Linked DNA regions of Drosophila melanogaster. The gene in region 1 interacts genetically with each later gene. Each region holds a gene or a part of one and is shown in the gene's direction. Other genes may lie near its edges.

Region 1 (8,218 bases):
CCTGGCCGATTCGAGTGTTCTGGGCTATAGGGGTCTAACCGGAAATCCGGACATGCCGCCCTCCTCAATTGTGGCCAGCATTATGAAGCGATTCGAGGTCAATCATCATAGGAAAAACTCCATGGGCTCCATTAAGCCCAGCATACAATAGAGCCCTTTGAATTCTTAGCCATACAACATAAGATAGTCAGCCAAATAGAGGACTTTCGCTTACGTTAATTGTTGCCAAGCGGGGTTATGGGTGACCTTTGACCTGTGACCCATGTGATCATCTTGTCTTGTCCATTAGTCATTACAAGTGCCGCGTACTTAGCTGTTTAACTGTACTATTGTATTATTATCAACTATTGTGAACTTGTTTTAAGCATGTATTAAAGATGATATTTTATGAGACATTTTAAGCATTTGGCGTTTCTGTTTCTTATATTTATGATTATGGTTTTATTCTAAGGCGGCAGGTTTAAAGGCCTACAATTTACATAAAACATGAGCAGATTGCGGTCTGCAGCAGATGTTTATTTACAAAACAAAACAATAGCTTAAGCATTCCAGTTTCAAAAGATACGTACGAATCGATTGAGAATGTTCACGTTTCCAAGAAAATAAACCAGAAGTTTCCATTTCAAACACAATACGCAATAATTGCCGTTCAGTTAAGGGGACTTTGTAACTGGTCAAAAGTTACACAGAGTATTTAATTAAGCAGAGCTTTCCCGCGTTATATAATTAGCACCAATAAAAACATTTAAGGTAAACAAGATTTCAAGAGTATTTCAAGTATTATTTGAGTTCGCTTCCAAGAAATCGCCGTTTCTCCAAACTCTCGACTTCAAAATGCGAAATGTGCGTCACAATTCATTTTCGATGATTGTTTATGTACATATGTATGTACATACATATATTGTAGTTGAACAAATCTATTTGCGATATAAGTACATATTTACATACATCTTAGTACACCCGAAGTTCACAGACACACATTCATGGTGTTGGCATTGTTTGTGATTTTTTTGTTTTTCTTCTTATCTAAAGTCGGTTTCTGAGCGAAGTTTTATTAATAGCCAAATGACTTGGCATCTTGAGTCGCTTGCCCCAAGCGGGGGAAACAATAAATATGTACTTAAATGTACATAAATCGGGTACAGCTGGGAATTGAAAGACCCATAAGGGATTACAAAGTCTGCGGCACTCGGATCGCTTATTGATTTCAATTGCCCGCAATTGTTTACATTCACAAGTCAAGATTCAAATTCAAGACGTGCTAACCACGGGAGCAGGGCATGCAAAAATATTGTTTGCTCCACATGTGTATTATTATTATTATTATTATTGGGCCCTAACCCCTCTCGCTGACCCGCTTATTCGGATGCCAAACAAATATGGTATAGCCGCCTGATAACCGATAATGGCATTTGCGCACATTTGTAACACCTTCAAGGCGACGCACGGTTCACAAGGAATTTCTAATACGTCCGCATACAGCTACGGACAGACGTATAGGTTAAGTTAGGGAATATCGATGATATTTATAATTCATTTGAATAACCTTTTTTTTTCCAGCAAACCGTTTTGTTAAAAGTTAGTGTGAAGGATAATTTTATAGTTACAACACTATCGTTTAAAAAACTTTTAGATCTTTTTTCAGTTCTACTTGTTGGTTTCCTTGAAACTGTTGTATTTTGCCGAAAGAGATTTTAGTTATGGGTGCAGAAAAGTATGCACTAAAAATATAGCTCAAAATTCTAATCAGAACTGCTTATGTTAAAAGCCATCATTATTCTTTATAGACTAAAATAATATTTGTAACCTATAATCTTTTTTTTTGAGATTTTTATAAACAAAGAAGATATTGAAAACATTTACCACTTAACATTCCATTCCTGCAGGTGTTTTACAATAATATAAATTTTGTTTTTAAAGAGTGTTTTTTAGCCTGCAGAGCTAACATTTATAGATTATCATGTCATGCGGCGTTAATTATGAGTTTTTTAAGAAGATTTGTATATCGGTCATTTATGGTTTAGCCCCTATTATTTTGGCCGCGACTGTTACTATGCATACATGGATATATGGATGTACATACTTACATACGTGAGTGCTCGCGCTTTGGGCATATCCAATAGATAACGGTTCTAGGTCTGTTCATCGGCACATGACTCGCTTTAAATTAATTAAAATTAATTCCCAAAGCAAACCACAGAACAAGCAAAGAATAAGGGGTGGAAAAGCGAAGAAAGCCACTTGCGAAACTGTGGGTGTGAATATTAGAAGACTGACAGAGAAGGCGAATAGCACAGTTATGCGAGAACCATACCGCACTCCTCGCACTCATTCAAAATTTGCAAGTTCAAGGCGGATAACAAAAAAAAAGCACAGAAAGAGTAGCGACAGATGCAATGTGCATACACATATATGTAAATGCGTATGTACATATGTTAGTACACGGGCAGACCAAGAATAAAATAATTGAGGACTACGCCGGAAGAATGTGAAAGAAAATTAGCAAACCAAAACGGCAAGAGAGCTGTTTTTGCAAGAGCAAGAAATAGGAAAAGAACCGAACAACTGCTATCGGCAATTTGAAATGTGTGTCAGGGCGTAAAGTTCTGCAAACGATTTGATTAATTTATGTGACTTAGGGGGCGTATGATTAATTAGCCTGTGTCGCTTACCAATTACTAAATATAAAATCACTAACACAGTAAGCCACAAATATTTCGATCTCACAGAAATTTGGCGCCTTTTGCTTTAAAATATCGGTAACAGCTGATGGCAGGGCTGGCAGCACTAGTGCAATCGATAGATCGATATGTTGGCGTCACGCGTTAGGTCATTTCATACATGCACACAAGTAAAGCATCGAAATGCTGTTGAATTAATTTGTTTTTTGTTTAGTTTACTTTCAAACCTCGCCGATCGTACTTAATTAGCACCTTATATTTGCGACGTGTCGAATTGCCTAACTTATTTTGTTACTCTTTTGCTTGCCTGTTTTTCCGTGCACCATGGCAGACGTACTTAAATCCGCAGGAGAAATCGCTAGCCAAAAATCATGTCTGTGTGGACCACGGCCAACAATTCGGGCCTAGAGACGCCAACAAAGTCGCCGATCACGTCGTCGGTTCCGCGGGCAGCGAGAAGTTCTGCAGTGATCACCACTGGAAATCACCAGCAGCACCACTTCCAGCACGTTGTGGCCGCCGCCGTTGCAGCCGCCACTTCAGTGGCCACCGGTCATCAGTTCCAGCAACAGTTCCCGCTGCACGCACATCCGCATCCACAGCACCACAGCAACAGTCCCACGGGTAGCGGCAGCAACAGCAACAACAGCGCAGGTTTCCAGCGCACCAGCATCAGCAACTCGCTGCTGCAGTTCCCGCCGCCCCCGCCCCCTTCCTCACAGAACCAGGCGAAGGTAAGTCCAATAACAAATCAATTCCCCAATCTCCTATCTCTGTCTACCAGAACTTTCCCCACTCCCACGACCCCAATCTTAAAGCGATGCTATGGAAGCTGCTCTCTCGCAACTCTCTCTATCTCTCTGTTTCCACCTTCTCCACTCACTATCTCTCTCACACGCTGACAATGGGCGCATTCAGCAGTTTAATCACGGCTCTGTGATCATGTAAGCTGTGATCGGTGATCGGTCACGAGATTTATATCATATAAAATGTAGATCGACTTTTAAGATTATTTAGTAAAAATTCAGAAGGAATTTCAATCATGAAACTTATTTACCGTACTCATGCCATTAATTAGTTTACTTTTTAATATTCTCTTTTGTGTGATTACCGTTAGAAAATTTCCCAATCAAAATAAAGCGAAGAAAGCGCAATGACATTTGCTGAGTGGGCTGCCAGATTTAATATGTACATTCTACATAATTTAGCTGAAGCTATATTTAGGTGTCTAAAAACGATATAAAAAGGACATAAACTAATTTGTTGTACAACAAGTATTATTTGTTAGTCAGTTGGCCGAAATGAGAATGCCAATATTTGGTATAAAAACTTTCAAGTTTGCTGTCTGTCGATAGTGATTGAAAACAATAAACTTTTATTAAAATTAGTTATTTGAAACACGGTCGATTAACATTTTTCAGTGAGTAAGTCGGATATATATTTATATATTTTACGAATCCTCGTATATTTGCGAAAATATGTTCTTCCGAAAACGGTGATAAATAAATCGGACTTCTAATCGCTGAGTCCCATTATAAATCACGTATTACTCATATCCCCGAATTCGCGAGACTCTGCTGAATGCGCCCGTTTGATTAAGCCACGCAATCTGACACATAAACACGGCCTACGTTTCAAGTCGAACCAGATCACACAGACACTCGAAAGTACACACACAACGCAACGCACATGCATACGTATAAATCACAGGTATGACGACTGAGTTAACTGCCAAACCTGCTGAATTATTGAACAGTGTTGTTTTTGGCGAACAGCACTGACAATGAAATTGCAAATGGTCATGGAAATATTGTAGAACCCGGCGTCTAATTGGCTCCAAGAGTTGTACGTTTCTCTTATCGCGTCTGCTGTTCTTTTGTTTGTTCGCTATTTTTTATTTTGTTTTATTTAACCGGCGATAATAAATACACGCACCCACCCATCGAGCTGCAAAGAAATGGAGGTGCTTCTTGGGTCGGCGTCTCTGAAATCCAGGTGTGTGTTTGCATACGAATTTTGCCAGTGAAAATGAAACAACAACCGCCAGCTGACACCTTCTGTTTTTTGTGCTGCTTTATCGGCTGGGACTTATGTCTTATGTATTTTTACTCACATTTTTTAAGTGGTTACATTTTGTTTATTCTGGAGGAAACGCAAGCAAACTGGTTCCATTTGACAGGCCAAGTTATTATTAACATTAGCCAGATTCGTATTTGTTTATGGCCAAAAAAGGAAGGCACTTTCCATCTCGATGGATTCAGTTGTATCGACTTGTTTGGTTTCCCTGCGATCAGCTATATTAAATTTTAGTTTAATAATTTTTTGTACATTTGTGTTGGTTTTCAATTTCAACAGCATGATCCTCGTGCCATATGTTTTCCATAAAAATGCGATAAAAGATAGAGAAAACAATTGTGTTTATTTGTTCAATAGTTTTTCGACGTTTCAAAAGAGTATGCAAAAACTGCTGCTTGGACCATAGAACTTGTATTAAAAGTTTAGAGAATAGTAATTCTTGTATAAATTCCCACAAAAACTAAGTTGCTGTTGATTACTTTGTCAACTTTATCTGTAAAAAAAAAGCTATTCATATGTACCATCCGCCTTATTTGGGATGCAGTTCCTCCTCCTGCTTCTTCTGACCTCATCTGCGTATTCAAATGAAGGGAAGAAGGGGCTTCAGAGGAACCTCTACGTAACGGACAATTATCACCAGAATGTGGTGTCTATACGAACGCGCAAACACATTCGCCATTGGGGTGATAACCACTTCTGTGCCGGCTCTCTGCTCTCCGCCTGGTGGGTCGTCACCTCCGGCTGTTGTGTGAGCACCAGGCCGGAGAGCACCCCAAACCAGCCGAGTAATCGCAAGAATCTAAGGGTTGTCGTCTTCACGCCCAAGCGATTGAAAAAGCCATCTCCCAAGAACATATACCACGTGCAGAAGATTGTGTTGGACGAGTCCGCCATAAGTGGGTGCACAGAATTGGCTCTGCTGAAGCTGGATCGCGGCGTTACTGGCCAAAGGTTTGCCATGATGCTGCCGGAAAAGGAGTTGAATAGCACTTGGCTTTGCAACTCTCTCGGATGGGGCAGGATTTACTACGTAAGTTATGTATATATATCTGCGATGTGCCCCGCATTCAGCATGGTGTATGATAACCCAGTTACTTGGTTCCAGGACGGACCCTACTCAAGCGAGCTTATTCAAATCAGAGCTCAAAAGATTTCGGAGTATGAGTGCAAGCCTGACTGCAGCAGATGCCTGTGCATGACTAGCTATACGGGCAGGGGCAATATGTGCCAGCAGGACTTGGGCAGTCCACTCTTTTGCGATCACTTCCTGTACGGCGTGGCGCGTCGGGTGCACACCTGCGATGATGAGGGCTTCATGTTTTACACCAATATCTATCAAAACCGCAAATTTATCGAGGACACCTTGAGTGGCGCAACCTGGCCAAAAAGAGTCCTATGTTTTCGTCTACTTCTACTTCTACTGGTGTTAGCGTCGCTTTCGGTAGTTTCATCTGATTGAATATGATATTTCAAACAGGAAAGCACAGGATACATTCTACATATTTAAAGGACTATATACAGTAGATCTCAAAATATCTATAATGAAGTACTGACTCATTTTTTTTTAAATAGTTTCTGACTTCAGTTTAATAATGTCAATAAGCGGTGTTACCACCTACTCGTACTCTTGTCGTAGGATATTGACCCACAATATGGTTTTTTAGAGCATTGTGTCCGTGAATTCGAGTGACTTTTCGTCTGTGAATTGGATCTTGATTGAATCTCGATAGTTGAAGTTCAGGGTCGTCGTGTGTGCGTGTGTTTAATCACTCGATTTGTCTTCCCCATTCATCAGTTTGATGATCGCTGATCGATTGCCAAAAGTAGCAGCAGACACTAGCCCCTAGCCCTTACCAACCGCCCCGTTTCCCCTTCTCACCCACTCACCTTGTTACTTTTTGTTTTCCTGTAGTTTTGGTTTCGCCTCTTTCGATTCTTTTACTGTCTGGTAGCTAGCTCTCTTTCCGTTTCTATTCCTTACCCACTCTCTCTTTAAACGCTTTCATTGAAATGGTTGTTTTGTACAGTGCAACTTCACTAACCCGAACTTTTGCTAGTCCTACTGAATAACTATAATTAAAAAAAAATCTTACCAATGAAAATTAGTATATTATTAGAAGCATTTTTTTTTAAATTACAAAATTATTTTTAAAGTAGTTTATATTTGTTGTATCTTTTGGCGTATTTCGTTGTTTTCTTTTAATTTTCGGTAAATGTATCTATATTTCTTCTGTCGTAGATTGTTATGTTTTTATATAAGTTCGTTGCTTGGGAGGCTTTACTGTCATAGTTCGATTGCCATTATAGTAGCTGTTGTTGTTTTTTGTGTCATCGCAGGCAGGCCGCACCGTTCAAATTGATTGTCGAATTTGAATATACGTCGTCGTCGCCGCCGCTCACCGCCGGTGCTTACCGCTCTGGGCAGAGCCGCCGTATCAGTTAGTTGTTAACTTGCCATCGCCGAAGGAACAAGAGGCGCTAAAAGCGAAACGCGGACGCTGAAATGAAATCGAATCGAATGTGCACCGCGCACCTGAATTAAATTCGTGGCGAAAAGGCAAGAATTACTATTCGATTCGTCGTTTTTCTTGCGTGGCTCTTATTTTTTTTTTTGTCTTGCGGAAGTGTCGCCAGCATCCGCGACTGTTTTCCGTTTCAGTTCCTAGCTTTTCGTGCTTTCCTCTCAGCTAGCAGTCGTTAGGGTACAACTCTTGGCTTCGGTCATATGAAAAAAAAATTTATATAAAAAACAAAAAACATGTGAAAAAGTCGGCAACAAGTGCCTGCGAAAAACTGTTTTATTGACACACGTATTTTACATTTTATAAGAACCATAAATGTGTGTTTATAAATAAAAAGTAAATATTTCAACGCACCCAAAAAGACAGAGAGATAGCGGTGAAGAGAGTGAGAGAAGAGGGTCACAAATTTTCAGCGTGCGTGTATGTGTGTGTGTGTGGATAATTGTTGATCAATTGTCATGTGCAAAAAAATAAAAACAATAACACCCAGCGAAAATCATTCAGCATCATCAATGGGAGGAAGTATTGCAAAATCAACCAAGTGAAACGGAACCTAATGAAAATCGCTGAAAGCAACGAGATTACAGTGACAAGTGGCAAACGAACTCTCTCGAACAAAGATTGCGCTCCGCCAACCAAGTACAGTGAATCGTCGTTACTGGCATTCGGAAATCCGCAAGATATCAATGCAAATACATATGTCGATGTGATTCACTGACAGAAGTTAGCATAAAAGAAAACATATGTATATCTAAAACCAGAAAAAAACAACGATAAGACTAAATCACGAGTTCGGCAATAAGTTGATACTTCCGAGAACCAAGAACAATGGAATGAAAAGTCGCCAAGATCAAGAGTAATAACTTTAATATTCCAAAGACCCAAAAACTGTAAAAGGTCGTCAATAAAATAAATATTCCTTAGCCGCCAGACGAGAGA
Region 2 (7,998 bases), on another chromosome or scaffold:
TTCGCAGTCAGCGAAATAGCAATGCTTGTACATTTATCACCAGATATGGCTAGTAACAAATTTTACAGGTAACAGACATTAAATACCGTATATTAAACAAAATATTTAAATTTTCAAACAAAAAATTGTTGAATATTAGTGCCACTTTTGCTATTGAAACGGGCTTTCTCCGCTGAATCTTCTGTCAGCTGTTCTTTTATTTGCACTTTCATACCAATACACTGAAAAATAAAGAGCAGAGACGTGGCAGAATGCAAAAAGGAAAGCAGCAGTGCCCGAAAAAACCAAATAGACCAAAAAAAAGAAAAGTGGGTGGTGTACAGGCATTCCGAGAGTTTCTCAGGTGGGTGGTGCGAATATGCCTATGTATGTGTCCGTGGTCCCATCTTTATGTGCTCTTATGTACAGCTAGTGCCGTGCATTTATGTATTGGCTGTGCTTGTGTGTGTGTGTGTGTGACGAAATGTTGACAACAACAACAACATGCTGCAGCGACAAGGTGAGGACCATGTGTGCGTCTGTGGTAGTGCTGCGATTAAGTCCTACACTGACAAAAAAAGGGTGACACCATGCTATTGAATCAAATCGAATCCACAAATATATTCTGAGCTGTAGTCCAAGGTACAATAAGGCTCTAAATTAAAAAAAAAAACCCTTGAGTTAGGGTCATTGAGTTGCTTTCAATATGAATTGAATACAAACTGCCTGGGCGATTTGTTTTGGTGTGTGCGCCATAGAAGAGCAGCTCAGAAGTGGGTGTAATAAAGGGGTGGGGTGGTGAACAAGGGTTGGGTGGCTACCATACCACATCTTCCCCCAACAAACTCCACACCCCCCCCCCCCCCCAACGCCCATCACAGAAACACACACACACACAACCACATCTTTGCATTATCCCAACAATTTTACCCATTTTCCTCCCAATTTCTCTGTTTCTCTTATTCTCTCTTCACCCATCCGCCGATGCTAATTTATTTTCGCTTTTTTCCACATTTTCATACCTCCTCTTGCGCTTCAAAGCGGCACAAAGCCAAGAAAGAAGTGCAAAAAAGAAAACATTAAGGGGCAAAAACTTCGGAAAAGCATCTGCAACAACAACTGCATCTGCATGTGCATCTCGACGAAACAAGAAAAGTTCCAAAGTGCAATAACCGTTTGCCATTAACCCTTCGACGGCCCCAGGGGCCAGCCCATTGACAGCCAATCGCGGCGATCTATGCGACGTCATACACAGCGAGAATTTGGGGGGCGAATAAGGGGGCCAACTCAATAATGGCGAACCAAATTGAAAAGAAGCAAAATAGCCCAGGCATTACATAAAAAATAACATACTTTGTATTTGTTCATATAAATAAATAAATATAAATTCTACAATATCATTCGCACTTACCCGCACTCCAGTAATTCGAGACTCCAGAAGCTCGAGTTTCCGCGGATTTAGTGAAGTTTGAAATTGATCCATTACTTTGTGATTATAAGCGCCGATAGGAATTTGTTTTTTTTTTTGTTTTCGATTCAGATACAAAAGTTTTTCTGAAATTTTTCTTTTAGCTCGTGGTTGGTTTAGTTATTCAATATTTTAATATTGATCGATTGCAAATGTCGGCAACGAGTGCGACAAGATTTGTCAGAGCCATGGCAATAATAAAGTGACAAATTCATCTGAAAAAATTAATAAATAACAATTTAATATCACTAATTTGCCACATGCATATTTTTAGCACGCACTGTGTGGCTTATATAAAGGCCCCTATCTAAAGGCATTTCATCTTATCAACGTTTTTGTTTTGCTCATAGCAGCAAACAAGAAATTACCAAATATGTATTGTATTATCAATTGAGTTTCAGTGAAATAATTGTGTGTGCTATAATTGAATGCAAGCAGAGGTTTTGCCAAAACCTGGCCATGTTTAGGTATTTCATTAAAAACACGCTCATAAACTACACTTGTATAATTGAAAAACTTGGCATCCTTTTAAATGCAATACGCTTTTATTGGGAAATTTCTCAATATGATTTAAACAACATTTCAGCCCGCCTAAGGGTTAATGTTCCAAGATGAAATCCCAATAGGTTTTAGTTCGAATCTTTCCCTTTTCCGTCTTCTTCTTGGCGCTTTTGTTGTTGCCCTGCCTGCGCTTTAGAGATCGGCATCTCGAATCTCCAATTGGAGTGAGGTTTTTTGTTATTTTCCTTTTGCACTCGGCGAGAAAATGCAGGGCAAAGAGCGAGTCTGATAGCGGGAAGGAGCAAAATGAACGACCCAACAACTAGCCGTACTAATTGGCATACACACATGCCACGCCTCCAACTGCTCCTAAGTGCACACACACACACACACACACACATACACACATGTGCATAAGTTTTTTTGAATTGTTACCGGTGCCAATTTGTTTTTGCGAGTGTATTTATTTGAATTTACTTTTATTCGCGTGAATATGTGTGAGTGCGAGAGAATTAAATCGCCGGCTGAGATAAAATAAAAGTCACTACAACAATAACAACAATGCTATTCACTCGCCTCTCGCTCGCACACGCTTCGCTTTTCGTTTGCTTTGCTTTGCGTTGCCTTTTTTTTCCGTTGTTTCCCCCCCACCCCTCTCCGTTTTTGCACACAACGCTGCGAGGTTAAGTTTGCGATTTTAGGAATTGTACGATTTCTACGGCTTTTCCGACATCGACATCACATTTAGAGGAACGAGAGGTGTTTACCATGCCATTTGGTGTGGCGAGCATATATCTTCCGCTTCCGATCGGATCGGCGATTGTCTTAAACTTTCAGAGGCTGCAACTATAGCTTTTTGTTGTTCTTTTTTTTTTTTCTTTCGCTTTTGTTTCTTTGGGATTTGGGTTTGTGGCGTGGCACTGTCGGCACGACACTTAAGGGTTAAGGTTAAGGGCCAATCGCCATGATTCCCAAATGTGTTTACTTCGGTTTTCCACAGCCGATTTTTGTCTATTTTCACAGTAAAAAAAATATTCACAATATTCACACGAACGCACACACGCAGAAATGGCCTAAAAATATACTGTAAGTTGGTGTAAAAAAAATACCGAAACGAGTGTGCAAAGAAGCCATCTGGCGGAACGATGAGTGCGCTTAACATGCACAGTTGTGTCTGTTAAAGTAGCAGTTTAGCGGTCACTTGTTACTTAGCGTGTGCACCAACCATAGTTATCGGATACTTAAACCGCTCGCCAGCGAGTGCACAACTCGCTCGCTCGCCTATCGAGTACATCAACCAGCAAAGCGAGTACACCCACCAGCCTTAGCGATCACACCCACCTCAATATAAGACGGAACTTATTGGTATTTTTGTGTTATTCTTAGTGATGCTTGTGCTTGGTATAATTGATCGATGGCAGAGCGGTCACATTGGTGCACCTCTGTGGTATTTTTCCACTTTCACACTAGTTTCTTTCAAGCAAGCAAAACCAACGGAACTTTAATTGCGGTGTGCGGCGAACGAGAAGAGAAACCGAAAAGCAGCCAATTTACTGTTGCGTTCCGATCCTGTTAATTCATCAGTTGCCGATTCTCCGATCGCGCCTGTAACTTTTTTGTTTAGTTTAGTGCATCAAGTGCGAGATAACACAGCAAAGCAACAACAAACGAAGCGACAGGCCAAAGCGGACGCGCAAAATACAATAAAAAGGAAGGAAGAAAACGAAGTACGCAAAAAGGAGGAAAGAGAAGCAAAAGCATTTACAGCTAAAGCATTATAGAGTGATTACGCATATTTCGTATGTTGTTCTTCATGATGTCTGCCGTGTGGAAAGATTCTTTCTTTTTATCTGGGTGTATACACCGATGAAATCCCAGAAAGGAATATACACAGGGGTTTTTTGTTTCATAAACAAAATTTGTAAAAGCCGCCAAAAGGCGCCGCTGCCGGCGTTGCAGTCGACGTCGAAGAAAGTGGATGTGTGTGTGTGTGTGTGTATATGTGTGTGAGCAAAGCAAGAGGTGAAAAAAAAACTCAGCAGTGAAATCTTTCTGCTGCTATTTGCTTTGTTGAATATTTAAATGTAAACTAAATAAAAGGTATTGCGCTTGGCATTTTTGTGTGTGTGCTCCATTCAGCAAAATAAAGGAAAGGAGCGGACTGATGAGCACACGGAGAGCGAGAGATAGAGAGAGAGAGAGAAAGAAAAGGAGAAGGGCGGCGAGAGCCTTTTATCAACGGCTATCAGCAGAAATATTTGTTGCCGCACCCCGCTTGACCTTATTCTCTCTCGCTCTCGCTGCCGCTCTCTCCTGCTTTATCGCCCTCTCTTTTTGCGGGGTGTGCAAGGTGCAGTCGCCGCCCGCATTTTGCGCGTTGACTCATACACACAAACACACACACACAAGCAAGCACGCACACGCCCCCATCGCCCCTTTGCTTTTTAAACTTCTCTTTATCCCAATTCCGCTTTGGGATCTCGTTTACGCCGCTCTAAATAACATTTGCCGAATTTTCCCAAGTATTAGTAATAATTTAACATTATACAAATATTATTTAACCAACAGTTAAATACAGTTGAGTTTTTTTTTAAATGACAAGTTTATTAAGCACATTTCTTCATTAATCACATATTTCGAATTTCTAAGAACCTTCTTTGGCACTCGAAAATTGTCGTTTGAAATGCAAGAAAATTCGCAGAAACGGTGTCTGGTTTTAATCTCTGTTATTTTGTGAGATCGCTTTTGATGGCATTCGCTCTGTGGCGTTATTTTCTCACAGTGACCCGTTTTCCGCTACCATCTTTCCCTTTCCCCATTTCTCATTATCTCCACGAACGTGCCGATTTTCGGGTTCTGTTGCTAATCGGAGAACCATTTTGACATTAGCGTTAGATCATCATGATGGTGATCGTTAGTTAATCCGCTTCAACTTTATGCGCATCTGAATGTTCCATCTTTTTATCCAACACGCCTAAAGCAAATGAGGAAAACTGAAAAACGTGACACAGAAAAATGGTTTTACAGTTTCTAATTAGGCTCAAGTTCAAGATCAATTTGAGTGCCAGCTTGTTTTATATTGAATAATTTCATTTATCTATGACTCACTTAATCGTATGTGTTGACCCCTTTCCCCCTTTCACCAACATTTCCTAATTATTTGTTTGTTTGTTTGGTTGCCAAGGGGCGTTAAAAGCTCTCACCAATTGAACGAAATGCGAACGGGGGGAAGTGAATAGCTGAAGTATGTCAAAAAAAAATGCGTTCTCAGTTCCTTTAAAACTGAGTGCTTAAATAATCAATAACTGCTCTTTGTGTAGTTTGCCTTATTATTTACAAAATGCGAAACCAGTTTTGATTTCAGATCGGTCTGTAGAATATGAGCCATTCATATTCCAGAGAAATTTAATCGTTATCAAAAGTGTAAACAAAATCTTACATTATTTGCAAGATATAGCCGAGCAATTTGTTAGCTGTTTCACCTCTGACCTTTTCAAATATAATTCTCTGGCAGGCGAGAATAGATTAACAATAGAGTTGAAAACACTGACTCATAATCTTCACGATCTTTCGCAGTGACACAGTTTTTGGTATATATGTAGTTTTCTCATCTTTTGTTCGGCATCTCCGGCATGTTTGCTAACTTGGCCAGAAGGGAGAAGATAGCGCAAGTCGGCCAACTTAGCCTAATTTATAGCCATCAAGCTGTGATTTGCTCTAATTTCACTTCTAATGGAGTTTTGTCAAGGGAGACAAATCACGGAAATGGGTTCTATTTCTATGTTTCTTCTAGGCCAAGTCCATTATGGCCAACATTAAAGTTTGTTTTCTACGAATAATAATGTTGGCCTAATGCAAAAGTTATACACACTTGATGATAATTGTCCATAATGGCCAAATATGTCTGCCGAATGTCTTCAAAATACGTTTTATATACCTGATTATCAATGAATTGTGCATTAAATACGTGTAATGACTTTGTTATTTTCCAATTAAATGATTAATCGCCCGTTACCAACGATCTACGATATCCGTTTGTAAAGCATTTAACATTTGAAAATCTTGAGATTTCTTCCAACAAACGATTCTTGACAAAGTCGCGCGCGCAATCACATATTTGTTAGCTGACTTTAGTTTGTTACATCATCGTATCAGCATCTCCAAAGTTCTCTCAACACATTTGCCTTATACAGGTTTTATTTGTTTTATGCCCAGGCTCTCAAGTGTTTCCCCATGGCTTTTGTTGTTGCTCCATCGCATTTCAAGATCTTTTATCACAGCTGACTATGCCTAGGTTTTAATTATGCTCTCCTCGCTTCAGAAAACACTTCCCACGCATTGTTCGTACATATATGTACCTATTTTTCATATACCACTCGGTGTGAAATAAGTTTTTAGTTTTTTTTTTTTTTTTTTTTTTAGGTATCGCTATCTGCAAAGGCAGATCAAACTTGCTCGGCCAAATAAAAACACTTTGTAAATGAGTCTGAGCCACGCAGTTCGCTTGACAAGTTTTCCTCGGCTTGTCCAAAGAAAGTTGTAACAAATGTACATCAAATGAACAAGTTTTACCCAACACTTTCTCAGGCTAACAAATACTCTGCAGTTTCTGGCAGGGGTAAGTGAAAATGTATAAAAGTTCAAAGTGTCAGGGCCGCAGAAACCAGTCGCATATCACGAGAATAACGCTGAGAAAGTATGAGAAAGTATCTAGAAATATTTTCAGTCTTATCAATACTGTTTGCTTTTCAATACTATACTGATTAATATCAACTGATCAACACTATATCGATCCGAATAAATATATTTGGGCATTTAAGTCCTTGAAATGCAAGAATTTTTATAAATGTTTGTATTATGCTTACTATGCAACTTCATTTAAAACATATTTGCCTGTCAACTTGACATTGACAGCGTTGCACGCGACTGCGCAGCGGCGTTGAAATCGTCGATTAAATGCCACAGATTTAAATAATTATGCATTATGACTCATCTGGAAAATATTGCATTCCAATGTCGATGCCTTTCGTTCCACGTTTTATACATATATGCATATGCATGGGTTTTTGTGTCAGTGTGATTTGCCCTAATCGCAAAAGTGCATTGAACTGATCTAACGGCGGAATGGCAGCCATCTCCTCAATGAAGTAAGAAAAGTTCACTCGCTGGGATTTCTTTTCTGCTTGATTAATGCACTCTGTGCTCCGTTGTTGTGTGCTCTTCTACTCTTCCAACAACCATCTCAGTCAGACCTGCATTTAATGATGTACAAAAAAAAGCACAGAAAAAAAAAAAAAATTTAGAATAAAAAGACTGAAACACAAAATTCCCACACAAAGTCATAGAAGTTGCGATGACAAGTTGGGGAAAACAGACAGAGACAATAATATGCGTGGATTTCGCTTCTTTTTTTTTCGCACATGTGGCGGTTTATTGAACTTAATCTTGTGCGGAAGTTACACAAAATCACGCCTCTTCGCTTTGCAGAATGCAGCACAAAAAGTGTAAATGAATTGAAATACAAGAGATAAAAGCGGCGACAAGGAAAAGCGCTGCACTTGGTTGCAAATTCCGCCAATGGCGCATCAAAACACATAAAAAAAGGGGCAACAAACTTGGCAGAAAATAGGGGGCGTGGCTAATTTACATATATAGGTTTTTTGGTTTTTTTTTTTTAATATTTTTAGGTTTGAGGCCATAAAAGCGTTCCAGCGTTTCCCATAAACATTTTCAGCGCTCTATAAATACGGCAAGTTGTTTTAATGCACATGAAGAAAAAAACGGAAAATTTTAATATTTAAATTGTATGCCCAAATAGGATGAATAATTGTTCGTTTTTTTTATAATTATTATTAGTGTGGTTTTAATGCACATGAAGAAAAAACGGAAAATTTTAATATTTAAATTGTATGCCCAAATAGGATGAATAATTGTTCGTTTTTTTTATAATTATTATTAGTGTGGTTTGATCGACGGCATTTTTCTCTCTGCACTAACTGTTACTTCGTTAACCACGAAATCGCCTCAAGGTTATAGCCAACAAACCACAA
Region 3 (8,027 bases), 3.0 Mb from region 1:
CTAATGTTTTGTAACTTGTTTTGTCTTTTGTGATGGTTAAAGGGTTTTTAAAAGGCAACATCTTTAATTATTTTCTTTCGATTCTTTAACTCTACTGACTACATTGTGCATATTCGTATTGATCCCCTTGAACCGAAACCCTGGTACGCCCCTGGTTCATTCGAAACATCCATCACTTTTTGCTGCGAAGTGAAAGAGGATGAAGGATATAGGATGCAGATGCAGGTTACAGGATGGAACTTTTAAGATATGGTATGTGGGATGCAATCATCTAGAGTGGGCAAAACAAAAAAAGAACACTTCAGATGCGGAAACCGCAATGAATACACTGCGACATCTGCAAGGGGCGTGGCAGTGCGCCCAATTGGAAGCAATTAATCCCACAAACCAAATGGCAAGCGAAAAAAGCAAAGTTCTTTGCGAGCTCTTATTTCTGAGTTCATAACAAATATCCTGTTAAGAAGGCACCGTGTCAGTTAATTTACTGTAATTTATTAAAGTTTACACTCGAAAAAAAACCTATGTTCTATTTGGATGAGTAAGTGGATTCGGTCTTCTTGATATTGAGAACGCCGTTGGAATCGGTGGCACCCTGGATGTTGGTCACCTTCTGGTTGCCACTGGCATCGACAACGGCCACGGTCTGCTGGATTTGGGTGGCGGGAATGGGTCCAACTCCGGAGATGTGCTGATAGCTACCGGTGCTTCCTACTCCGCTGTTGCTGCTGATGGAGGCTGCGCTGGTGTAGCCATTGTAGGTGGGATAATAGTTGTCGCCTCCAGTTAAGGAGCTCTCGCCGAAACGCTCATCAAAGGACACACCACTGGAAATTAAAACGATCATTAGTGATCATCAATAGAAGTCCTCATTTTCCAGTTAACTCACCCAAGCACTGGAGCAGCGGCCTGCTGGGTGTAAGAGGAGCCAGAATGACCGGAGCCATCGGCATTCTGAACGCTGTGTGAGGCGTAGGTGAAGACGTTTCCTCCACTGGAGGACGAGGAGGATGATGACGAGGAAGACGAACTGGACTGACGACGCAGACGCCTCAGGAGATGGGCATTCACGGGATGGACATTCGACTGGTGGCCCTCCGAGTCCAAGGTGAAGAAGGCACGGGGCAGAAACTGGCCAGCTGTATGAATAAAGAGCAATGAATTCAGCGATAAGTATCTGAAATCTATGAATATAGCTTTAAAGCTTAGATTTCGTTCACATCTCGCCCTTATTTACCACGATTAAATATTTTATGAACTTTTACTATTGAATTTATTTTTAATATTATGAAAACCTTTGAATAATTACATATACTTAGCATATATACCATGCAGATTTATTCCAAGTTTTTTATGATAATGCTAATCCCAAAAGTATGCTTATAAATCTCAAACATTCAACAATGGCAATTTCTTTTTTGAGTGTGAAAGTTTGTCCACTCAGCGATCGCGTGAATAATCAAACGTAATGCTGATTTTGAATAGCCATATTTTAGGAATCGTAATAAAAAGCGAATTTGTTGTGCGGAAAGTTTTGCTGGACAAACATTGTCGCAAAGTTAATGAGCTACGCGAATTTCACAAACCAGTTTGGGTTTCCGGATGGGTTCGATAGGTTTTTGGGTATTATTAACATACTAGCACCCGTCGACCGACTTGTTAATTCAATTAATAATAAACACGATAGCAGCTCCGACTAGCGATGATGTAAGTGCACAATCCGGCTTAAGCTCTCCTCAAATTATACTCAAATTTGCTTTTTTGCTCACCGGAAGAGGCCGAAGCGGTAGTAATCGCAAACAAAGCGATGGCAATCACAGCGTACTTCATTGTGAAGCGGTATGGATCTGTAAGAACACACACTTCGTCACTTAGTAGGGTTAATTCAGCGGTTAGGGGTATGCAGAGGGGCCTATCTGCGGTTAAGCACTCACAAAGACGAAACGAAAGACTGAGGCAGCGAACGCGTGAAAAGTTCCAAAACGACTAAGCTCGCGGTGCGGCTCCCTAGCGCTTATATATGGAAATTTCGAATGCTGACGCAGTGCGAACCATCTACATCATTATCATCTAAAGCTGGAAGAACAAGCAGAAGCCGTCAAACAGGCAGAAGAGTTGGGCAAATAACTCCACCGGTAGGTAGACTGAACAATAAACAAATACAGAAAAAAAAACAAGAGGCAGGCATTTAAAGTTTCTTAAAACCTCTGGCTGTGGCTCATAAACGTAAAGTTAGGCTCAATGATTCATAAGGTTAAATACTATCACATCTCTCAGTTAATTTCCCCTCTCTGCAGCAGAGTTTATCTCACATATAAATCCACCCAAAAAGTTAATGATTATGGGAAATAAACACATGACGAAGCAGCGAAGCGCCAACGGGGAATTTCTGTTCTGTTTGTTTTCACTTTATTTGTATTTCGCATTATATATTCGAACGCCAAACTGTTTTGGCCAGCTCGTGTAAATTGGCCAAGTGCCCTCGCTTTTTCTTATTGTACTTTTTTTGTACCCAGTCTGCGCCTTGAGCTCTGCTTTTGACCCGATTCGTGTTTTTGGCAATAAAGAACTTCTCGAACTTCTTCTCTTGGGCTTGGGGCAATAACCTGATTACAACGTGGCCAACACCTAACAAACGGAGTTTCAGAGAAATATTATGCATTATACATACATTGCCGATCATAAAGCTAAACTATATATACTCATTTGTTTAATGGCTGGCATGCGTCCACTAATTATAATATTTTGTGAATTTTAATAATATTATGCCTCGCTCGGTTTTACCGCTCCATCTGTTTGAAACAAAACTGGTTTTGATGGGATTTTCGATTGATCTTGCTCGACGAAATGAAAACAAATTTTGTTATTTAATTTTACATTATCATATATGTATATTCCAGGAAATCCTTTCAATTAACCGGTTATTTGGGGATTATTGTTTTTAATTGCCTAAAATAAATCTAAGGCTTTGATCAATCAAGAAATAATTGAAGACAAGTTGTGCAACACAAATTATATTGCATATACACATTTTGCACGTTTTGCTGATAGAAGTAGGGTATTTCTAACAAGTACAATTAAATAGACATATGTACTTTTTTCAGTAAAATATTACCAATTTTTCACGCACTACTTAAGCCAATCTACCACCTTAATTCCGTTTTTTTTCTTTTGAACACATGAAAAAATTCAATTCCTTAGATTTATATTAATCTAATTGAAATCCACAAATTTGTTGCCATTTGTTGTGCAGAAGTATTTTTGAATTTCGCACACGTTCGTTGGCAAAAATATGTACAAATATTGAATACGAAAAAGTCAAGGAAAAATTCCATTCTTTTTCTCGCAAAAATGGTGACAGAGCAAAATGCTGACCGCCGCCTACTAGGAAAAATAATCCCCAGCCGATTTGAACGATTTATTATTTGGCCCAGCCAACTCGGAGCCTGTCCCGGAATACCCGGAACCATTAATCATCCGAGTCCAGATCCAAGTCCGAGTCCGAGTGGTGGACAGGCGGCATTGCAATTGGTGGACATTTTGGAGTGGAAGAAACTTTTGCGGTACGTGGCAACGTGTTGAAATTACAAAATGTGTTAAAAAATGAAAGAGCAGGGCGGGTAAAAAGCAAAATAATATATTTCATTCACACACAGACTTTTGTCTCTGCTCCGCCGTCCATATAAAAAACATAAATTTCCTTTGAGAATAGAACTTCTGGGATGGAGAGGGGGGGGGGGGGGTGCAAGGTGATTATGTTTGACAGCCGACTTGGGACACGAAGCACCGCCCCCTTTTTCATCGCCAAACAGGACATGGGTATTAGATCCTGGCCAAAGTGCCAAAACTGGCCTCACTTTCCGTCTGATTTACGGCCAACTATTTTGTTTAAATTTTTACCACTTCCCTGCTATCGACACTCAACTTAAAACATATAAAACCAACTATTTAAAGAGCAAATAAAGTTCAATTTGATTTTCTTTGGCCTTCGTTAATAATTTTCCTGCATCTCTCTGGGGATCAGCGAAAAATATGAATTATTGAAACAGCTGAAGGAAATAATATAACCAAATCGGAAGGCCAAATCTGTTTAATGTTTCAGATATGTTGGTGTGGGTTGACCAAATGACAATATGCTTTTTAGCTTCAACCTCCCTCAAGCGAAATTGATTTTCATGGTTTTTCTGTTTTTTCGCCTAAAAATACACAAAAGAGTCGAAAAAATTTGACTGTGATTGTCACTTGAATGTGTGGGTTGGGAAAACCACTCCAAATCCACTTCACCAAATATGTCAGTATGGAATCACGAACCTCGCTTGATTTCTCCAGTGATTTTTCGCAATCAGCCTGATGAGGATGTGCCGAGAACGTTGCTCATGGAGGCAGTGCTATGATTAGTATCCTTTCAGCCAGGTCAAAAGTGACGCTGCCGCATGCCAAGTGGCCTCGGCCAAATGAAACTTTAATGCGAAACAAGGACAAAAGGCTGAAAGAAGGCTGCCTGATGAACTACGTGATGGTCAGACAAATTGAAGTTACACTGGAAAATAATTAGCTAATTTCCTAGTTTGCTTAGGTTAAGGGATTAAGTAAGAATGTGTTTAAAGGACTCTTTTATAGGTAACTTGTTACTCTAAAGAAAACTTATCCACAGAATAGATGTGCTATTTTATCGCAGTGTATGTGGATAGTCAACGACAAAGTGAAATGCATTGAGGTTGGTGGCGAACAAACGCGACCTGAATCGCGAATTGGAATAGCCAGCCTACTCCGCCCCCTCAGGATATATAGCTACTTCGACTAGCATATGCGCCAGATAGTATAGCTGGCGTATCAATTTCGATAATGTACTTGGACCGCGAGTATCTTTATTATCCTGACTGCTGTGCAATTATTTCCGACTGCTTTACTGTCGTACCGCTTTTCCGAGTCCTGGGAAACGCAAACAAAGGATATTTCGCGCACACGCCTCGGACATGATTGCATCCGGGCAGGAAGCATTGCGTCGTGTCCTTTTTGCATCCTTACATCGTCGCTTCCTTCCTGCCGATCAGAACCCCTGGCTGCTTTTCATCCGCAATTTTCACGCCCACTTTGTTTGATGATGACAAATCTCGTTGCGTGTTATCAGATTGGCCAACTTTCCGTTGCTATTCCCCCTCGTATTGCATAATTATGTTTATCTTTGGAAGCTGCGCTCCTGCCACGTGTCCTTGCGTTTTGGTTAGCTTCCTGCGATTTTGCTCGGAACGAGTGGCACGTGCTAATCGGCGGTCGTCTGCACCGCCCATGCAACCAGCCACCCCCCCTGGTAAGTGCAACCCCGCCTAACATGTCCGATAATTGAAATCGCTAAGCTGAACAACGGAATCGAAATGGCTTCATTAATCAGGTCACTTCGATGGCAGCGCATAATGTTCTTCAAAAATTTGAATTGGGGGCGGTTGAAAAGAGGAAATTGGTCTATATAGCACTTAGCGCGATTGAATTTGCTCATTTTGTGTTACCTAATTGGGGAAAAGATGTTTCGGTTATTAATCATGAGTGATACTTACTATTGTATTACAAAAATGGTGCATATATCAGAAGATATATATTATTAATAGATCTTAAGGAGCATTTGTATCCATTCACCAAAATATGGTAAAAATAAAGCTTAAATTAAATTTGCTCATTTACCTTTAAGGACATCCTTTGCTTAATGAGTGCACTCATGCCCACACCCACTCGCAACCGAATGAGTGTCGCCCTGCGGACGCATAAATTATAAATAAAAGCCTCACACACGTGGAGAAAGAGAGGTGTATATAACCTTAGAGAGAGAGAGAGAGGGAGAGCTACAGTCTGAGGCCAAGAAGTGTGCTAAATATTTAAGTACTTAAAACCATAAACCTGAGTATTTATAAATTGGCTTTAACAAGCTCGTATGTGACGGTGGTTGGGTGTGTGTCTGTGGGCTGACCCTTTTTTCGGGCACAAGGATCTGCTCGACTCGATTCCATTCATTAGAAATGCTCACTAATGTGCCCGACTTAATAATAATCAAATTTATATGCATGGTTATGTCCTTTAGAGCAGGACCACAAAACTGAAGTTTCGAGTGGATTGCGAATGGGATTGGCTGTTAAGTTTACGGAGAAACCTTTGAGAATGAGACGAAGATAATATGTCAATATCCTTGTTTTCCAAAATGTCTGACCAAAAGTGCAGATGTCCAGTATCGAAACACGCCCAAGACCGGTACCGTTATTCTGCTACCAGTTTTCTTGTTTGTTTTTGTTTGTTAGCCAGCTTGTTTGTGGCCGACACTGAGACCAAAAAGGCCAAAAAGGTCGCCCCCTCGGGATTTCCTTAGTCCTGCTGCCAGCTTCTTCCTTCCACATTCTTTTTGGGGGTCCGATGAGATTTGAAAATTTCACAAAAATTAATTAGGAATGCTGGCATCCATGTTGTGATAGGCTAGTTCTTTTCTAGCCTAGCAACATTTTTGATGTGACTAAAGAGAATCATCTTTATGGCCACACCCGGAATACTCATTCTTCAAACAACAAGCGACAATAAAAACAAATTACAATTGCAACAATGGCAGCGGCAGCAAAACATTTGAGACATTTTCCCCACACACACACACAGACACACACATACTTCAGTTAAATGAACATTTGCAGGACCTAGATATTTATTTATTACAGGGGTTGCACTGCAGGAGCATTAACCCCTTACTGCCCACGGCAGTCTCGAGCAACGGAGGACTGAAAAAATTGAAATAAATTACCAAAACTAAAGGCAACAACTGTTCGCATAATGAAGTCAAATTATATTTGTGCCTAAGTGCACTGAGAGAAATTTAATATAACCTATGATTTACACGATCGATTTTCGATCTTTGCAACATTTTTTGAGTGAAACTAGGAAACCCTTTACAAGCGAGATCTTGCAGTTCTTTAGTTTCTAAGCATTATTCTAGTATTTTAAAATATATTTTCCTTTGTTCTGGTCTTAATTTATTATAACTAATGAATATTTTCCGTCTGTGTATTCGGAAAAGGGGGAGTTGGAACATATAAAGATGGGGTGCAGAAAAGATGATCAGGGAAGGTGTGAGTGGTTCAAACTAGCTGGGCGTTTGGATAGCGAAGGGTGCGTCCTTTGCTGGTCCTTCGAATTATGCAAATCGTCTGCACTTCAGATACTACTACCCCTACAAAAAAAAAAAACGAAGAGAAAACCCCCTACAAACAAACGTATTAGTGTCATCGAGCATTTGCCAAGCCATTTCATTGACACGTAGAACACCTTTTTCGTCCACTTCGTATGATGTTATCATTTAATTCTTGGGGAATTAACACGGACATTGTCAACCGTAAATGAGCTAATTAATCTAGTAAATGTGTCGCAGCTCATTCCACAATTTCTCTACTACTTGAGAGCGAGGAGTGGGTTCGCGTTTTTGTGGTTCTCCAGAGGATCCCCAATGCTGACACGCTTCTCCAGGTGGCCGAGGAGTGGGAAATGGAAAATGGGCAGGGTTTGCCCCTCGGGGAGCTGCACTAAAACCCCAAATGAGATGCATGAATTCCTCTTCGCCGACAAGCAGCTCATAAAAGTTAACATCGAAGTATTTACAGCATATTTTGGGGAAACTTCAACTTGGAATTTGATTAAATGCAAACTACTTGAAAACATACAACTTCAAATCAAGTATGTACAATTTTAAATCAAGTAGATCTCTTTGAATTTATTGATTTGCTTAACCAACTTAAGTTTCCTTAACTTCTCTTATTTTTGTGTATTTTGGCTAACTATTTTTGGCCACAAATCGATCTTTGGTCGCGCCAAAGTTAATGAACCAACCGCACTTTTCCAATCTCGCATTTGATGCGTTGGATTCCACATATTTGGCCAGACTGAAAAATAATTTCATGTTTATGGCCACGTTGTTTTCACCGGCCACAAAAATGCTTATCGAACGCCGGAGATCGCCAAGCGAGAGACTTGTAAATATTTATGATTTTTTGCGATTTTTATTC
Region 4 (8,419 bases), on another chromosome or scaffold:
GTCCAATGGGCGTGGGCTTCTGCTTGGGATGGCATCCCACAGCGACAGAGACGCTCATGATAAATGTGGCATAATATGGGAAATGTGATGGATGGAAAGCAAAGATAATCAAAATGGCAAGCCAACAAGTTTGCCGGCAAAAAGAGTTTCAGCTTTAAGTGACGAAGTCTCACACTGAAAGGTGCATTGCACTTTAAGTGCCGAAGTGCTCTTCGTCATTAGGATTTTATGGACACCTTTTTGTGCATAACAGCGATAATTTATTGCACAAGAATCCAGTTTTGTGATTTCCTTCATTGTACATGAGTACAGTGCGATGAAATCACTTATTTCATTTGAATGGTTCTTTACATTTGTACCCAGTTTGTAATATTATATATTTTTATTTAGAATAAGTGACAAATAAGTACCGATAATACTTTAATGTTGCCAAATAGTAGACAATATTGTAAATCACTTAGCTCAACTAAAGACCATCAATAATTAAAAAGATAATTATGATTATAAATCTTAGCTTTCTAATAACCAAACCCCTACAAACTCCTTCTATATATCATTCTGCAAACCTGGTTCATAACAACAAAACGCATTTAAAGTAATATTGTATAATTATAGTTCAATTTGCACATTTAAGCACTCTTTCGCTCTAAGAGCTCCAGTTGGTTAGCTCATGGATATTGGATTCTGCTGGCGCATTACCGCTTGTCATCATCCCATTTCCGAATCATTTCCCCTTAAATTATGGAAATGAATCGAACCAGGTCGGGTTAAACACAGATACGAGTATGTGAGCAGCTTCAAGCGATGGAGGAATGGTCGGAAATGAGCAGGTAATTGCATTTGGCCACCGACTTACCCGATTCTCGATGAGCTTGTCGCACACATTGAAGACCGTCTTGATGGGATTCTTGTCCATGCGGATGGTTTTGTCGTAGTAGGTGACCTTCCGCGGCACATACTGCTGATCGAAGTTGAGGTGCTGCGGTTGGATGGGAAAGCGTGATTATCGCATTCGGATTAGTGGAGCATCCAGTTAGTCAATGGGCTTGCCTTTATTGTGGTGCTAAAGTGCTCCTCGCTGTCGGAATTGCTCAGTACGCCGCCAATGTTGTACGTCGAGGGATTATCCGAGGCAGTGTGCCTCTGGGCGGCATCAATTGGCGCCACCAGGAGAACAATGGCGAGCCCAAACAATGGCCGGCAAAAAACAAACTCAGCCATAGCCATGATGCGGAAGTCTATAGTTTCTGGGGGAGGATAAACGAGGTGTTTTGTGCAACGATTTCAATGGTTTCTCGAGCAAACATCCAGCATTTTCTGCAAGTCGAAAAGGGGAGATGCCGCATATTAATGGCATTTTCCATTTCCCATTGCAGCAATGAGAATGGTCAAAGACAAGATTTCTTAAAGTTTATTTTGCTCATTTTTGAAAAAGCAGAACTTTGAATTCGCGGTGTTTTCTTACATATGTGGTAATGCCAGATCGCGAAAAAATGAATACCAACGCAAGATCGTTAGAGTGACCATTTCATTGTGTTAATAGGCATTAGAAGCAAAATCTAAGTATGTGAGTCGATGAGTGGAAAGATTTTAATCCTCGGCCAATCTATCAACATTGATCTGGAATTTTCAAGCACAGATGACTAAAAAACTATGAATATTTGAATAAGATTCAAATCTCTACCCTGTGCTGCCATGCTAACTAGTATTTAGAGTATGTTAGTATTTTATCCATGCGCTCCCATCTAATTTATCATATGGTTGGTTCTGCGGTTTTCAAACACTTGCTTATGTCATTCCTTGTCAATAGTAAATGCAATTAACGTGTTACTGTCAATAATTCTATATATGTGTGCATAAAACAGTTAAGATGTCAATTACACCATTTATTAACGGCTAACTAGTATTTTTCGCGCGGTCACACTAATCGATCATATGGTTCGACGGTTTTTAAACACTTGTTGCTCGACCGCGCTTTCAGTCGGACGTGTTTTCGCTGGGGTTTTCCGCGTCGGTCCGCCTTATCTGCGCTGCGCTGGCACTTCGTTGGAGTGAGGGAGACGGAGGAGCTGAGCGGTACGGTACACGAAGTCGCGCATGACGCGGCGCTCTGGAAAATTGCATTTTCATACGCCTTGAGCGCGTAATTTATGCCCGAAATGCTGGCCAATTTCAATTTGTTGGCCTAAACGCGACGTGCGTGTGTGGGTGTGTGTGCGTGATTGGGAAAAGTGCGTAGAAATCGACAATCGTTTTGTTTGCCCGCGCTGCTGCTGCGCTGCGACTGCGCTGCTTGTGGGTGGTCAACGGGATCGTGGGGTCGGGAGAGCCGATTGTTGACGTTGTATCGCATGCTGCCTCTCTTTCCCGCAGCCGGAATTGTTTGTCGCGTGTTTTAACGGTTATTTCTTATTGACAAAACCTCCTCTGCCGACGTCGCTGCCCCGGCATTGTTATTGTTATTGTGTGTGGTTTCTGGGCCTTCTTCTTCCTCCTCACCGTATTCCCACTTATTGTTATTCTCTCTTTTCCGCGGCTAAGTGCGGCCCACTCAAGGTGAAAATATATTAAGTTCTTTCGAGTGCCCGCGAGTGTTTGCATTTGAATAAAATAAATATAAAGTCAAATTCGATTTACGATCGTCGTCTATCGACGGATGATTCAATACCAATCACAATACAGTAGCACATCTCTACAAGGGATATTTTACATTACATACATTCTACGGTGAGTATCCCACGACAACGACAACGACAACCTGTTGCCAATCGAGCCCAGTTACTGGTTTTTCTGGTTTCCCGAAGGGCTTGCCACCAATTTAAGTAGGTCATAAGGCAATAAGCCTATCACGACCGAACCGATAGGCTAATTACCGCGATAGCTATTATCTAGCAGTCACGCCCTCGCCTTTTGATCCCACTTGATTTTGATTTCGTTCTTGCCTCTTGCTTTCGCTCAATAATTGACAATAAGCCAAAGCGAAAGGGCCAGAAATGCGCTGAGATTCAATTACGTTGCAGTGGCCACTATTTGTTGCTTACACGAATAGAAAAGCTAAGGAAAAAACATATAAATCCCACTGATTGAAGACATTTGCTTATCGGGGGTATGGTTCTATGCCAGCTACTCAAACAAAATATAAATAAATCCTTAGGGAATCAACTCCGAAGTCAAGTGTTGATTTCAACTCAAGCCACTATGTATATGAACGTGATGCTTTCCAAAATTGTTTTGTGGTGAGAGGGATTGTTTGTTGTTATACAAAAATTCTTCAAATGGGAGTGTTTAAGAATTATAATGACGAAGTAACATAGTCATAATTAAAACTCGTATTTACTCGTAGAGTGAAAGGGTATACCGGATACATATATTATTGATCAGATCGAGATTTCGGGATCTATAAAATCTAGATGTGCAAGTTTAATTCACAACGTCCGCGCCCACTCTAACGCCCACAAACCGTTCAAAACAGTCACGCCCACAGTTTCGAGAAAAGTTTGGATTTTTTTAATCCTAATATTTCTTTGTCAGTTCCTAAAGTTATGCAAATCACTTTTGGAAATTTCTCACTTGACGTCCTCTGAACTGAATGCATCTGCGTTCGAGAAAATCAACTTAGCGCCGATATTTTCTCTCAGTGCACACATCTTGATTGCAGACAGCGGAAAAGAGAGAGAGAGCGAAAGGGAGAGAGAGAAAGAGAGATGCTGACTGGGCGACGCGTGCTTAATTAAGCGCCACATTGTTGTTGGTGTTGACTGGGCAGGTGGCGAGCTATAGAGTAAGAGGCAAGATGAGGGATACCAAAAAAGATGGGGGAGGGGGATGAAAAGTGGACGTGTTGAGCCTGCTGCACGCGATGATTTCCATTACCTGGGGTAAAAAAATGGCTTTTCATCGCCAAATTCCTCTCTGGCCAAGTTTTTTTGTTGCGATTGAAAGAGCGCACTTCACTACTTCTTGATTTGCATGTAATCATGATTGGGTTAATGGGCCTATGATCACACAATTACGATCAATTATATTCACATTATAATGTCGAACAAATTACTAAATTATACAATCAATGGGACCAATAGATAGTATGTGCAGTGAGTTTCATTTATTGAAGATAACCAGTCAATTGAGATGTCATTTGCGGGTACTTTGATCAACCGGCTAGAAAATGTACATATATATTCTAATTTTTAAACGCTAGTTCGGTATAGTATTAAAATTTTTTTGATTATTATGTTTTTGTGCAATTATATATGTATATTTAAAAAAAAAAGTTGGAACTTGACAACTATTTTCTCTTTAACCACGATTCAGATGTCATCAATTTTAATATAAAGAGTTAAAAAATTCACAATTTGTTTTTGTTATTCTCTCAGAATCCCTCAACTGTAGTTGATAATTCTCCAAAAGTTGTCGTATAATTGCATTTGACATACTGATAACGTTTGTGCATGATTTTTAATCAATAAATTTTACCAACCAGCCAAATTTGTTCAGTTTTGCCACTTGTCACCATTTAAACAAACTGACCACAAAGATATTACATTAAATAAATAAAACACATTGAAGATTCTCAGGTATGCTTATTTTTTTGACCACAATCGTGTGTTTGCTCCAATTTATGTGGGCTTGCCATGAGCATGTGCATAATTCGAAGCTGAATTGAGCAGCTGGTGGGGATTTTGTGGAAGGGGGGGCGGTAAAGTGGCCGGGGTTGGCGCCTGGGAGCGCCAGCAATTAACATAAACAGGCAAATTGTGTAAGCGACATTCTGGAGCTGCAAATAAAATATAAGCGCCCGCCCCCCGCCCATCCGATGTGCACAGCCCACTTGGCTGCAATTATTAAGGGTGTGTGTGTGTTTGTTCGGATGCGGAGGTCGGGTGTTATCAATGAAGCAGACTGGATGAGAAGCAAAGTGTTCTCATCAGCGCCAGTCTGGTGTGATTGTGTGAGTATCTGTGTGCTTCACGTTTTTTCTGCTCAGGTGGGCCGAGGTCTCTTGGCTTTTCAATTGCTTTGAGCCACCAGACAGGGCCCAGACTTTTAATGAATGGCCAAATTGTTGAAAGGCGCGCTCAGCACATGTGCCCTGCATTACTCATTACTCATGTTAAATGGTTCTTAAAGGATTCTCACTTCACTCTCACTTCGCCGTCCGTCTGATCTCATATTCTATTAATCCCCATAAATATTTGATCAACCCCCACAGTTTCAAAGCTCCCAGCATCCAGATGGACGAACAGCGCACCGAATTTCCCCAAGGAAAGCTGTTACTCTCACTCACTCTGTTTTGTTAAGGGCAGCAAAATTCCCAAATGAAACGTATCGAACAAACATTCAATATATACTATCAACTATACTATGTACATATAAAAAACGTGGTATATATGTCATCAGACATGGGTTATACTTTCGACAAGTTTTCTTATGAATTTCACACTTCGATTTGCTCGCCATTCGAATTTTCGCATGTCCATTAATACGCCAGTTAATGAACTTTGAGTTGAGGGGTTAGGGTATTCGCGATTTGACGTCTCTATGGGAAAGCAGTATAAATTCTACATAAATAGTATAATGCAAGATTACTTCTATAAATCAACGAATAAAATTGGGAGTAACAAGCCACTTGAAATCGTGCCGAACTAATGTAAATAGAAAATATTTAGCATAATATAAGCACGCAAGATATTTCAATTCTTTCAATTGAAAGGGCATTCCAACGTCGGCAGAGCCCTTGGAGAATTTCCCTCGTGAGTTTTTGTTCAACTATTTAACATAGCGAACGTGCCGGCCATGGCATTTTATTCAATTTTCGTGTTAGTGCAGCGTATGCGGGGATTGCAGATTGCGGGCTCCATTGAATGTGGCGCTGGTGCATGGAGCTGATGATAGAGGAGCGAAGGAGGGCTATGGAGCAGTGGGTGGAACCGCGGGCGGTGGCTTCGCCGGCTTCAGCGTAATTCGAACTGACAGGCTGACAACAATGAGAGCATCATGCTCAACGGCGGCTCGCATTTGATGATGCCTCGCTGAAATATTTGCAGTGGTTTTCGAATCTGGGATCCAGCCGCACAGGCACACAGGTAGCGATTCCAAGCAGCAATAGTTGCCAATGAACAACCAATGCAACCGCAAGAGGGGTTCAGATTGTTTGACTCCGCCGTAAAGCGGTTAGAGCTCAATTGGGGCAATATCAGGTCGCCGGGCGGATGTCCGGTAATTTCTCCCGCTGGCCAATTCAAGATAATTTAATATGGCCTCCGTAGACGGGAATTGTTTTATGTGCGATCCGGAAAGCAGGCTAGCAGGCAGGCAGAGGACTCTCCAAGGACTCGACCGCAGACAAAAGCTTTGACAAAAGGACCCGAAACTTTGAACCAAACTCTGTCGCCCTTCAACCGACTCGTTCCCTCGCACTCACGCCCTGTTGCTGTGACCTTTATCCCTTTTGCTCCTGCCCATGCCAATCCCGTCCTGCCACTTTCCCCATTCACTGTTCATTGTTGTCCAGCCGTGTGTGTGCGGCTCAGCCGGGAAAGCATTCTAAGCCAATAACCAAGTCGACGATGTCCCTCCTCCGCCTGACTCGCAGCTCCGACATTCGTGGTGCTTTGTGGGCGATTCCCATTTTCCATTTTATATTTTGTGTACATTGCCGCATCTCTCCGTAGGCAATTTTCGGGGGCATTTTTCACACACGAATTGCGAAACAGATGTACGTATTCCGCCTTGCTCCACTGGATCCCAATCCGTCGGCTAGATGACAGTCCGGACATGAGGCGAGGTGGGAGCATGGCGGGTTTGGGCCATTCTGTGCATGATTTCAAGCATTGCACATTGATGTGGCTCACTGCCCCGAAGTTTCCCATTCGGTTTATTGTTGCTTAAGTGCCTAATGCCCAAAAATTCGATGGGCTTGAAAAACTATTTAGATTTAGGTAGGTCAAACAAAGGAAAGGATTCGAGAATTATTTTTGTTTGCTCAACGGAATATTCGTATCCTCTGAGGATTAGATGTATATCCTGTATATCCATTGTACTGATTATATATGTACCTGTGTTTAGCATACATATGTATATCGTATGTCTTATACTAGATAATCCTATGGTAACCAATTACCATATTAAATATTAATTAGGAGACACTTGCACACGTGTATTTATAACTCATCCACTAATTGACCTACACGGAAAATAGTATATTTAAAATGAGTACAAAGTCAATCCTTAGGCAGAATATCTTGAGAAATCTTCAATAAAAAACTGAACAAGTCCAGGGAAAGTGTTGCCTCCGGCTCAGCCATAGTCGTAATCGAGAATGGGATCCCTCTCCGTGGTGGTCACATTGATGTCCTCTATAAGGCGGAGCTGCATCTTATCCACGAGGGGTGCAAAGGCAAACACACTGAGGATGAAAATGAGGAAGCCCGCGATGATGAGCAGGACGCAAACGACGACGGAACACACTATACACTGGGCTGTCTGGACGGAATCCATGACAAAATGGATTGGCGCGACCACGCCTCAATTGACGAACGCCACACTGAAAACTATTTGGGGTCACTTGCGGACTCGGGCATGCCCTGAAACTCATTGCTTTACTTCACCACCGTGGATGTCCTTTCCGCATATCCATTTCTTCAGTCCTTGCCTTCGTCGAGATTTCGGGGCATTTAATCAAGTTATTGGTGGGTGGTTATCGCGAGTTAAGTTATGCAAACACTTTGTGTGCCACTCCTTCGGGATGCTTTGCTTTCTCTATTCTTTTTGCGCGCACATACACTCTCACAGACCCACTCGCACACACACACACAGAGAGGGAACTTTTATCACACGCACACGGTACGAACTTTTATCCCTTTGTTTCCCTGTTTTCACTGACAATTTTTGGTTGTTTTAAACTGTGTCGAACTAGCGGTATTTCCGTAATATCTGTTAATTTTGATTCACTGACAATTTTCGCTCAGAATGAGCTTTCCGTATCGGATTTCACTGGCATCACATCTCGCATACGCACCGTGGCACCAGGCAGCAGGCAGCTAGAGCTGTATTGCCTACTTTTCGACGCCCGCTCAACGCGACGCCTGGCTTTTCCGCTTTTCCTTCCTTGCTTTTCCGGGGCTGTGAAGGACAACGTGGCGCTTTGCGCGTTGCTCGTCTACTAAAAAAATCGTCTGGGCTCCTCCGAAAATTCCTTAACTTTTGTGCTTTAAGCTCCCCGAAGGAGCTTTCCAAGCTGGACCAAAGCTGAGCCACGCCTGCGCTGTGACATGTAAACAACTTCTGCCCGGAGAGCGGCCCTCTCTCTTTGCCTCTCAGCTGTTTGGCGTCGCCCGCGATTTCGGTCAGCTGACTGCCGCCGCACGCAGCGCGGCCGCTGCGCTGCTGCCGCGATGCCAGCGCCGACATTGACGTCTGC

The links.
Region 2: of Orai (region 1) and Rala, changing one suppresses a phenotype caused by changing the other (phenotypic suppression), as found in Drosophila melanogaster (one study listed by BioGRID).
Region 3: of Orai (region 1) and kn, changing one suppresses a phenotype caused by changing the other (phenotypic suppression), as found in Drosophila melanogaster (one study listed by BioGRID).
Region 4: of Orai (region 1) and Itpr, changing one suppresses a phenotype caused by changing the other (phenotypic suppression), as found in Drosophila melanogaster (one study listed by BioGRID).

The regions. Positions count from the first base shown.
Region 1 is NT_033778.4:17,848,046-17,856,263, forward strand, and holds the start of Orai (orai), read left to right. Parts: upstream 1-2,816; 5' UTR 2,817-3,052; coding exon of another isoform or gene 3,053-3,415; intron 3,416-5,249; exon of another isoform or gene 5,250-5,295; coding exon of another isoform or gene 5,296-6,216; exon of another isoform or gene 6,217-6,251; intron 6,252-7,094; 5' UTR 7,095-8,218. Other genes in the region: olf186-M, read left to right, coding at 1-151; CG30323 (uncharacterized protein), read left to right, coding at 5,296-6,216. UniProt on the Drosophila melanogaster protein: Pore-forming subunit of inward rectifying Ca(2+) release-activated Ca(2+) (CRAC) channels.
Region 2 is NC_004354.4:3,715,040-3,723,037, reverse strand, and holds the start of Rala (Ras-like protein A), read left to right. Parts: upstream 1-3,402; 5' UTR 3,403-3,675; intron 3,676-6,370; exon of another isoform or gene 6,371-6,566; intron 6,567-7,998.
Region 3 is NT_033778.4:14,802,383-14,810,409, reverse strand, and holds the start of kn (knot), read left to right. Parts: upstream 1-3,348; coding exon 3,349-3,560; intron 3,561-8,027. Other genes in the region: hui (hase und igel), read right to left, coding at 527-824, 887-1,136, 1,767-1,827. UniProt on the Drosophila melanogaster protein: May act as a 'second-level regulator' of head patterning. Required for establishment of the PS(-1)/PS0 parasegmental border and formation of the intercalary segment.
Region 4 is NT_033777.3:5,515,162-5,523,580, forward strand, and holds the start of Itpr (inositol 1,4,5,-trisphosphate receptor), read left to right. Parts: upstream 1-1,955; 5' UTR 1,956-2,727; intron 2,728-7,137; exon of another isoform or gene 7,138-7,296; coding exon of another isoform or gene 7,297-7,497; exon of another isoform or gene 7,498-7,959; intron 7,960-8,017; exon of another isoform or gene 8,018-8,167; intron 8,168-8,419. Other genes in the region: Nmdar1 (NMDA receptor 1), read right to left, coding at 857-979, 1,051-1,227; CG43845 (uncharacterized protein), read right to left, coding at 7,297-7,497. UniProt on the Drosophila melanogaster protein: Receptor for inositol 1,4,5-trisphosphate, a second messenger that mediates the release of intracellular calcium. Together with MCU, has a role in oxidative stress-induced ER-mitochondria calcium transfer.